Linked DNA regions of Schizosaccharomyces pombe. The protein of the gene in region 1 binds, or shares a complex with, the protein of each later gene. Each region holds a gene or a part of one and is shown in the gene's direction. Other genes may lie near its edges.

The links.
Region 2: bos1 (region 1) and gos1 share a complex: the UniProt entries of both Schizosaccharomyces pombe proteins name them as parts of the SNARE complex.

The regions. Positions count from the first base shown.
Region 1 is NC_003424.3:1,922,915-1,927,112, forward strand, and holds bos1 (SNARE protein Bos1), read left to right. Parts: upstream 1-2,166; 5' UTR 2,167-2,187; coding exon 2,188-2,211; intron 2,212-2,252; exon of another isoform or gene 2,253-2,262; coding exon 2,263-2,359; exon of another isoform or gene 2,360-2,431; coding exon 2,432-3,018; 3' UTR 3,019-3,625; downstream 3,626-4,198. Other genes in the region: tos4 (transcription factor), read left to right, coding at 42-171, 279-1,849; metallopeptidase Oma1, read left to right, coding at 3,825-4,198. UniProt on the Schizosaccharomyces pombe protein: SNARE required for targeting and fusion of ER-derived transport vesicles with the Golgi complex.
Region 2 is NC_003424.3:779,086-783,942, forward strand, and holds gos1 (SNARE protein Gos1), read left to right. Parts: upstream 1-2,275; 5' UTR 2,276-2,401; coding exon 2,402-2,950; 3' UTR 2,951-3,056; coding exon of another isoform or gene 3,057-3,251; 3' UTR 3,252-3,352; coding exon of another isoform or gene 3,353-3,619; 3' UTR 3,620-3,717; coding exon of another isoform or gene 3,718-4,059; 3' UTR 4,060-4,334; downstream 4,335-4,857. Other genes in the region: SPOM_SPAC4G8.09 (leucine--tRNA (Leu) ligase), read left to right, coding at 1-2,071; atp10 (F1-F0 ATPase assembly protein), read right to left, coding at 3,057-3,251, 3,353-3,619, 3,718-4,059. UniProt on the Schizosaccharomyces pombe protein: Nonessential SNARE involved in retrograde transport within the Golgi complex.

The DNA.
Region 1 (4,198 bases):
TACAATTCAACCTTAATTGTTTGAATACTCCTTTGGCCAGTATGAACATTTCTAGCCAAAATGTGCTACTGCCTTCTCCAATTCCCTCTTCATCGCCTATGGCTTCTCACAAGAAAAGTTGGCTCTCAAAACATCCAAATCAATCAATGACTTTTGAGAAGCCTCAATTGGGTAAGGTTGATTCCACGGTGATTAGTTAAGAAAACTGTGTAAACCAAAAGAGAATCATGCCTCTTTACCAATTGACTTGAATCTAACTTTTACTAATATTAATTTAGGCCAATTCGTCCTCACGCCTGAGCCATCTAGTAATACATTCTATGCCCCCTCTTCGCCTGCTTCTGCAGTGAGAAGAGAGCCACTTTCTCCAATGTCTTTTGTACGGATGCGTTCACATCGCGTTAATAAAATTGGCCGTTCTAGTCAACAATGTGACCATGTCCTATCCACGGTTGATAAAGCAATTTCTCGTGTACATGCTATTGTAACTTGTACACAAGACCGCATGATTATTGAGTGCGTGGGTTGGAATGGGATGATTGTGTCTGATAAAATGAGGAAGTCAGTATTCCACATGAAGAAAAATGATCGGATTGTCCTGGTAAGACCGAATTCGGATGCTTGTCCTGTACTGGATGTATTCGGTTACCGAGTTCTTCTTGGTTGGCCAAGTGATTCTGAAGATGAATGGGAAGGAAATCTTAATGCTAAAAATTATGAAGAAAATCGTGAACCTATGTCTCCTTCACCTCAAGAAGCTTTACCTTTGATGCCTTCATCACCTCCTTCTCAAGACTATCAAAACGATCAGAATCATCTCATATTGTACACTAATTCCGAATCCATTCCTAAGCTAAACTTGCGTAGTAACGAATTAGTATATCCTCCTCCATCCAAAGATTTGTTACAAAAGCTTCTTGCCTTAGAAAAAGATGGTCAGGTGGAAAAGTCTGATTGTTCCAAAAATACACAATTAAAACCATCTTTTCTCCCAAAGAACACCGACGATTTACTCAATGGCACTGATGATAATAACATCGTTTTAAGAGAAGTTAAGGTTTCTTTTGAGAACGAAAAAATCGAGAGTGATGATCTTGATAAAAATGAGGAAATTAGTGAAGGTGAAGAATACACTCCAATTGAAGAGTCAAAAGAGCCTATAACAGTAAGACGGGATAGCGTTATACAAATTGATGAATCGTCCGCTGGACTAACGGACGTTATCTCTGAACTTAATTTTACAAACCATAATGATGACTCAAAGAATTCTAATATTACAACTTCAAATGATTCCCCAGTGAACGAAGTTGAGCCAATGGCTCCTGAATTGAGTTCAGCAGTTGTGGAAAAGAAGGAACCTGAAGACTACGAAAGCATCTCTGCTGTTGATGAGAACACTAATGACAGTAATGAATCCCTCCCTTCTAGCCATGATTACTCAGAATCAACAAAAGAAAATTCAGCTCCCGATAGCTTATTATTAGGATTGGTTTTAGATGAATTGGTTTTCTCAACAACTTCAACTACTCCCCTTCCTGCACTTTCGCATTTATTTCCTTCCAATATGCCACTTCAATTAATTCAGGACAAGCTTCGAGACTTGGCAGCCAAGCACCCCTACTTTGAAGAGGTTAAACGTTACGGAACTGATGCTAATGGTGATCCATTGTGGAGTGAATGGTTTTATAACCCAGATGTGGATGATGATTTAGAACGGCGTATGAGATATGCTCCATTAATGAGACCAGTAAGATCCTCACGTCGTGTACATAAACAATATTATTGGAAAAAGCCCCGAGCTCGTCCACGTTCATCGGGACATTCTTCTAGGCGTCGTCGTCTTTCATAACGAATTGAATGCTGGCATCAGACACGACCCCTATAAAATTTCGCTTTTTGATATTGTATACATTTCGTTATTACGAATGGAATTATTAGATTTTTCAAATGGGGTTCAACAAAATACAATTGAACTCAATAGTGATTTACATTTAATATGAATTTTGGGTAAAAAAACGCATTCTTTTTTATAAAACTGTATTTACAATGTATAGAAATAAATTGCTACTTTAAGCTATTTACAATTTTGATATAGCATTCAAGTAACGTGTTACTTGCTACATGTGTTGTCATATCAAAGACAAGAAAATAAATTACCCTCATATTGGAACCAACTACGGCAAGAGAATGAGCAATACTCTTTATAATCACGTATGTAACTTCCTAAAGTTTTAGAAAACATATTAATTTGTATTTCGCTAGTGTACAAAGTTGTTTCAGTCCATTCAGCGAAGCCTCGATGAGTTAGAACGTGGTGTTCAAGATGAGAGCAACACTATATCGTTAGCTGGAATTCAGGGTATGTGTAGATGAATAATTATGGTACTTATTTTAACCAAGTTATTCATGAGACTAATGCAAATCAATTTAGGCCAGATCTCAGCTTCATTTCTGTCATTATCCAGATCCATTGATGACTACGATAGTATGGTCCAAAGGGAATTGGTTCCCGCTAAAAAAAAAAAAGCTACAATACGAATCCAAGAGTTCCGTCAAAAGCATGTTCAGTTGTTGGAAAAATTTGATGAGTTGAAGGCACACGTTCGTGACATTGCGCAAGCAAAAAATAGAAAAGAATTGTTAGGGAGGCGTGGGTATGTGAACTCTCTTGATAGTCCCTACGGAAATTCAACAACGGATGCAGAAATTGTGGAAGGGCCATCAGATCTAAGCAGACAAGATGGTTTATTAAAGGAGCATGATTTCCTTGGTCGTGCAGAATCTCAAGTTGACGAATTTCTAGAACGTGGGCGGATGATTCTTGGTGATTTAGTTGAGCAGGGAAGCGTTTTAAAAGCTACTAAGACAAAAGTACTGAATGCCGCCAATACCCTTGGCATTACTCGCCATACTCTATCTTTAATCAACCGTAGGTCCAAACAAGACAAGATTATATTTTATTGTGGAGCATTCCTTGTATTTGTCCTCTTTTACTTGATTTACAGGTGGTTACGCTAACATGTTCATGTCGTTGGCTTGTTTAAATTTACTATTCTTATATGATATGGGGCAGTACAACAAAATCAAAGATGATTAAAAAATTTGAAGAGCTTCTTGAGAGTTAAATTTTTTATTAATTATTTTTAAAAATAAGCTATACATTTTGCACTTGTTAGCTTCTCCTTGCAAGCTATTACTGTTGTGTTTTTTTCCTTCTGTTTATGACATTCCACTAATCACGCACTTATGGGCCTTTTAAATCTAATTCTTTCTTTGTGTTTTTTTAAATCCTTAGTTTGTCAATCAATTAATACCGTTGCGGTAATGCTTGACTAAAACACCTTCTCTTCAGGCGGTTGCTTTGAAATGCTTCAATTGTGATTCCATTTCATTTTATTTTAATATCCAAGAGAAAATTAACTTACCAATGGGCAATAGTTTTTTTTCCTTAGTTTCTTCGTAATTTGCTCAGTTAAGCTATGTATTAAAAATAATAAAATAGACTAAAACTAATTGTCATCACGAACCGTTAGTTGACGACTGTTTTACACTATTTTTATTGTCAACCGTTTTCAATGCAACTTAAGAATTTGTCGAAAGCCAATTGAAATTTGTATTCATATATATTAATTTTGTACCATATATATTGTAATAACTGTATTGGATGAAGTTAACTTTTACTAAAGAAACTCGAGACACGTTTGTTAAAATTAATATCGTTAGCGATTATCCTTTCGTATACCATAATACACCAAACTATCCTCCATTCTCATCTTTTTAAATATCTAGCGCCAATATTTAGTAATTCCTATAAGAATTATTTAATGTTTTTAAATAAGTATATATCAAACTATTCCAGAACCAGGGCTGTGAGCTGCGCTCCAGTTCTATCATACAAGAAATGTAGTTATCGAAATTTCAATGGTTTATTACAGGCAAGATTTCAAAGCAACAACTTGAGTTGGTCCAATAGAAACAGAGTGGTATATAAATCATTTCAGCCCAATCCTAGAGACAAGAGGTTTCAATGGATTTTTGGTGCTCTTATTGCAGGAGGAGGTGTATACTATTTTACACATTTGGAATACGTTCCTATAAGTAACCGTCGAAGGTTTAATGATGTTTCTTTAGATTTTGAAAAGCGAATGGCACAAGACGCCTACAAAGAAGTAATGTCTGAGTACGGAGACCGTATGTT
Region 2 (4,857 bases), 1.1 Mb from region 1:
AGTTGATTGCACAGTCCTTGCCAACGAGCAAGTTGATTCACATGGGAGGTCCTGGAGGAGCGGTGCCATAGTAGAAAAGAAAAATCTTCGACAATGGTTTCTAAAAATTTCAGACTATTCAGATCAGCTGCTCGATGACCTTGAAACATTACCAAAATGGCCTGACAAAGTAAAGAAGATGCAGCGCAATTGGATTGGTCGAACTACGGGTTTTGAAATATCTTTTCCTTTGCTAAACGATAAAGAAACTCTTACAGTTTTCACTACTAAACCTGAAACAATAATAGATGTTAGTTTTATAGCTCTTTCAAAAAACCATAAACTTGTTTTACTAGAATCCCAAAAGGATCCTTCGTTGGCAGAACATCTTCGCAATGAATCCTTACTAGACAAAGGATATCAGCTCCCGTGCTTTGCAAAAAATCCAGTAACTGGCAAAGCTTTACCAATATTTTATGCTCCTTACGTTTTGGACTGTTATGGTACTGGCGCCGTTATGGGCGCACCTATTCACGACCGCCGAGATTTTGAGTTTGCTAAGCGTAATAACATAATATTTTCTAAAGAAAGTTGTATAGGTTCATATTTTACAAATGAGGGAAAAGAACTTTTGAATCATCATGATTCTTCGAATTTAATGGATATCAAGCAAAAAATGCTTCAGCAAAAGATTGTCAGTTACCTTGAAGAGAAGAAATTAGCCAAACGTGTTAAAAATTATAGACTCAAAGATTGGCTTATATCAAGACAAAGATTTTGGGGTACTCCTATACCAATGGTTCACTGCGAAACCTGTGGTGCTGTCCCAGTCCCTGAATCTGAACTTCCTGTAAAGTTGCCTGATCTTGATAAAATATATGAAAAAGGTACTTCGCCGTTATCAAATCTAGAAACATGGATGAAAACAACCTGTCCGAAATGTCATGGCCCAGCAACAAGAGAAACTGATACTATGGACACATTTGTAGACTCATCATGGTATTATTTTCGTTTTTTGGATTCTAAAAACTCGGAGCTTCCTGTAGGTTTAGCAAGTGCGTCCTCTTTGATGCCTGTTGATATTTATATTGGTGGCGTTGAGCATTCAATACTTCATCTTCTATATTCCAGGTTTTTTTCAAAATTCATGAAGGATATTGGGTTATGGAATGGTGATAAATATTTAAATGAACCATTTACTCAACTAATTACTCAGGGGATGGTTCATGGTCTTACTTATACAACGATGTCGGATGAACGAATACTTAATCCAAAAGAAGTCCAGAAAATTGGAGACGAATATTTTCTAATCAGTAATCCTAAAGAGAAAGTTCAACTTTCTTACCAGAAAATGAGCAAAAGCAAGCATAACGGTGTAGATCCGATACGTACTATTCAAAAATATGGCTCAGACATTATTAGAGCTTACATAATATTTTCAGCTCCAGTGGAAGGCGTACTCCTTTGGAATGAAAATGCAATAATGGGAACAAAACGGTGGTTAACCAAAATATGGAATTGTGTTCATCAGTTATTGGAACGTGAGAAAAAAATGTCTGATGCGATGAGACAAACGAAGTTAACTATTGTCGACGATCACAATAGCAGGAAACTCGAATCACAATATAATGAATTTATTTCACAATGTTCTGCTCATTATGAAAATGTATTTTCTCTCAATTTAGTAATTTCTGACGCCATGAAATTGACTAATAATATAGCAGATGCTTTAAAAAATAACAAAGTCAATATCGGAACAATTAAAGCATCTTTGGAAGTGCTTGTGAAATGTATTGCTCCAATAATACCTTGTTTTTCAAGTGAGTGTTGGTTGCTGCTAGGACATAATTCTTCCGTTTACTCTAACTGGCCCATTTCCAAAAATAAAAAGGAGAATATGGAGGAGCCCGTTACTATTCCTGTCCAAATTAATGGTAAGGTGAGATTTAAGATTGAAATGCCCAAACTCAATGATGAAAATGAAATACTAAATTTTGTGCTTGAGACGAATGATGGGAAACGTTGGCTCTCTAATAAAAAAGTTTTAAAATCTTTTGTGAAACAAAAAATCATCAGTTTAGTCACCGACTGAAAGTTGGTTGAGACACGAGCTTCATGTTTCAAAATAATTTTGATATTTACCATAACAATGCAATGTTGGTTGCGTAGTTAATTTAATGCTTAAAATTCATTTTGAATGAAAAATATCCTATCTTAATATCACAATGTTTTCTAGTAGCATAGCTTTTCTATCACTGGTATATTTAGGAATCTCTACGTAGTGGGATACTTCTCTAAACTACATACTAGTAAGAACGTCATCTGAAAGCCACATTAATCAACAGAAGAGAAACGTTTGTTTTAAAATCATAACTTAAGCTACTAATTTTTCTCTTATAAAAATTTGAAGATCTCTTTAGCCATGAAGTCTATGCTTTTGAGAGATTCGGTGAAAAAAGCGTCTCAGTTCCAAAGATCGTTGCACAGTGATCCTAACCAAGCTAAAATTCTGCTAGAGGAAAGAAGGAAGCTTCTTGAAGAAGCCAACTCTTCAGCTGACGAAAATGACTCGCATTCAATGGCTACTATCAAATCACATTTTGAAAGACTAAAACGAGATGAGCAACTTCTTAATGGCGTTTTGAAAAAATATGATGCGAAACAGGAAGTTCTATCTCCTGAAGAATTACGAGATGCACAAAACTTTTTAGAAATGCAAGAGGCAAACTCTTTAGACAATTCTATTAGAGGCACTAATGAGCTTCTTGAAAGAGCTTATGCTACGAGGGAAGACTTTGATTACCAAAATAGCGTCTTAGGAAATGTGACCAATCGCATAAACGGGGCGGCCATGTCAATCCCTTTTATTAATCAAATATTAAGGAAAACCTCGATCCGTCGAAGACGTGATTCTATCATTTTAGCTTTACTCATATCTGTCTTGATGCTTTTGTTCCTTTTTTTTCATTAAGTTGCATGTTTTATGAAACGTTTATGAAGGGCATTGATCCCGCCAAAGTTATGAATATGTCATAAAGGTTTAATTAAGATGAAATAATATAAAAGTCCTTTTACTTTTAACCAACGTTTTTATTTACCAAAAACTTAATCGCTGTCTTCAGGTTTTCAATTTCGACATTAGTTGGATCACCGGTTCCAAGCCAGCGAATTTTGCAGGAATCGTCAATTAAATACACATTTCCAACAAGTTTGTTGTTCCATCCTATTTCTGGGAAACTGAACTTATTGTCGTATGCTGTAATATATTCATTCTGCTAGTTAGCAAAAGGTTATAAATTTTGGAAGTAAATAAATCTATCTTATCAAGCGAACAAACTTGTGAGCAGCTTGGACAAATAATGCGTCTACTTACCCAGCACTTTTCTGGTATTGATCTTTTAACTTTTCCTATAAATATCTTCTGTAGCCAATATTTTATTAGATTGGATTGAACATTTGCATAACGAACTGGCAGATAATCAAATGGAGCTAGATGTTGAATCCAATTCCTACATTGGTTTTCTCCAAACGCGTTGCTAAATAATGCAAAGAAAAAGGGCGAGCCTTGCCAATCTTTATATAGCTCTTTGTACTGATTTCGTAATGACTTCCCATGAAAGTTGTACATCCATAAGGCGCTCTAAAACGTGTCAATATTTTTAAGCAATAAACTAATTTTTTTTCATTCTTATTTGAAATTTCCAGAAATGAATATTACTTTTAACCAATTGTTCATACCTTCTCCTTAAATAATCTTGGAGGACTGTAAAACAGCTTACCATTAAATCGACGAACTTCGTTGAAATCTTGAATAGTTGATCTCTTCATTTCATTCAGCAGCTCCTTCTGTCTTTGCTCAGGAGAAGATGTACTCGCGGGTTTGGTAAGTTTTTCCCATAATGTTGGCTTTTGGACTTCAGAAAGCATCGTCGGTTTTACCAGTAAACCTACTGGAATGAGAGCAGATGGGGCTTTTTCTTTTGTATCATTGAGACTTTTGGTGCTAAAAGAACGCAACTTGAACTGATGCTTAACAATCAACCTCGGAATGACTAAATTTTTTAAATAATTATATGCCATGTTTACCAATTATAGGTAGATTAAAGGGGAAATAATCTTTAATTTATTATGCGATTTAAGAAACGCAAGGATGAACTTAATTATTATTATAAACTTCAATAGATAGGTATAGCAGAAAGGAGCTGTTGTTACAGGTGGAAGTACTCTGACGTTAAAAATTCATATCTTAATTTTCATTTTGGTTTTTTAATTTGTTTTTGGACATTAGTATATATCTACGATAAAGGTTTTCTCCTTTTAATTTCATTGTAATATAATTCAAGACTAAAATTGGCTTTTCATTGGATTGCGAATCTTTCATTGAATACTATCTTTTCAACTTACATTGAACGTGCATGTAAGGATAGGAAATGGAATGCTGAGATAATGAACAATACAAACCTTTCTAATTAATTCAATGTTTAAAGCAAACTCATTTAGCGAAAAATTCTAGCTTATTAAAACAGCTGTCAACCAGGGCGTAGAGATTACAATATAAAGACCTTACTTACCCTTCTTAATGTACTACAATACAAAATCATAGTTAAAAGAGTAGCTTTTTACGTCCCTGCCGACTGTTTATGTAGATGCATGAAAAACTATGAGAATATAATTTAGTAATCGTTTATATAAGCTAATACGCATTAATATTATATTAATTCATAATGCTTAAAAATCAAAGCAATTTCAATTTCCAAGTGGGTTAGAAAGTACTAATGGGGGGTCCATATTCTCTTTAAGACATTACTCACTTGAATAGCAATTATGACTTCGTCTACTACCTCAAGTACTATGTGGGGGGGTTGACCACTTATGAAA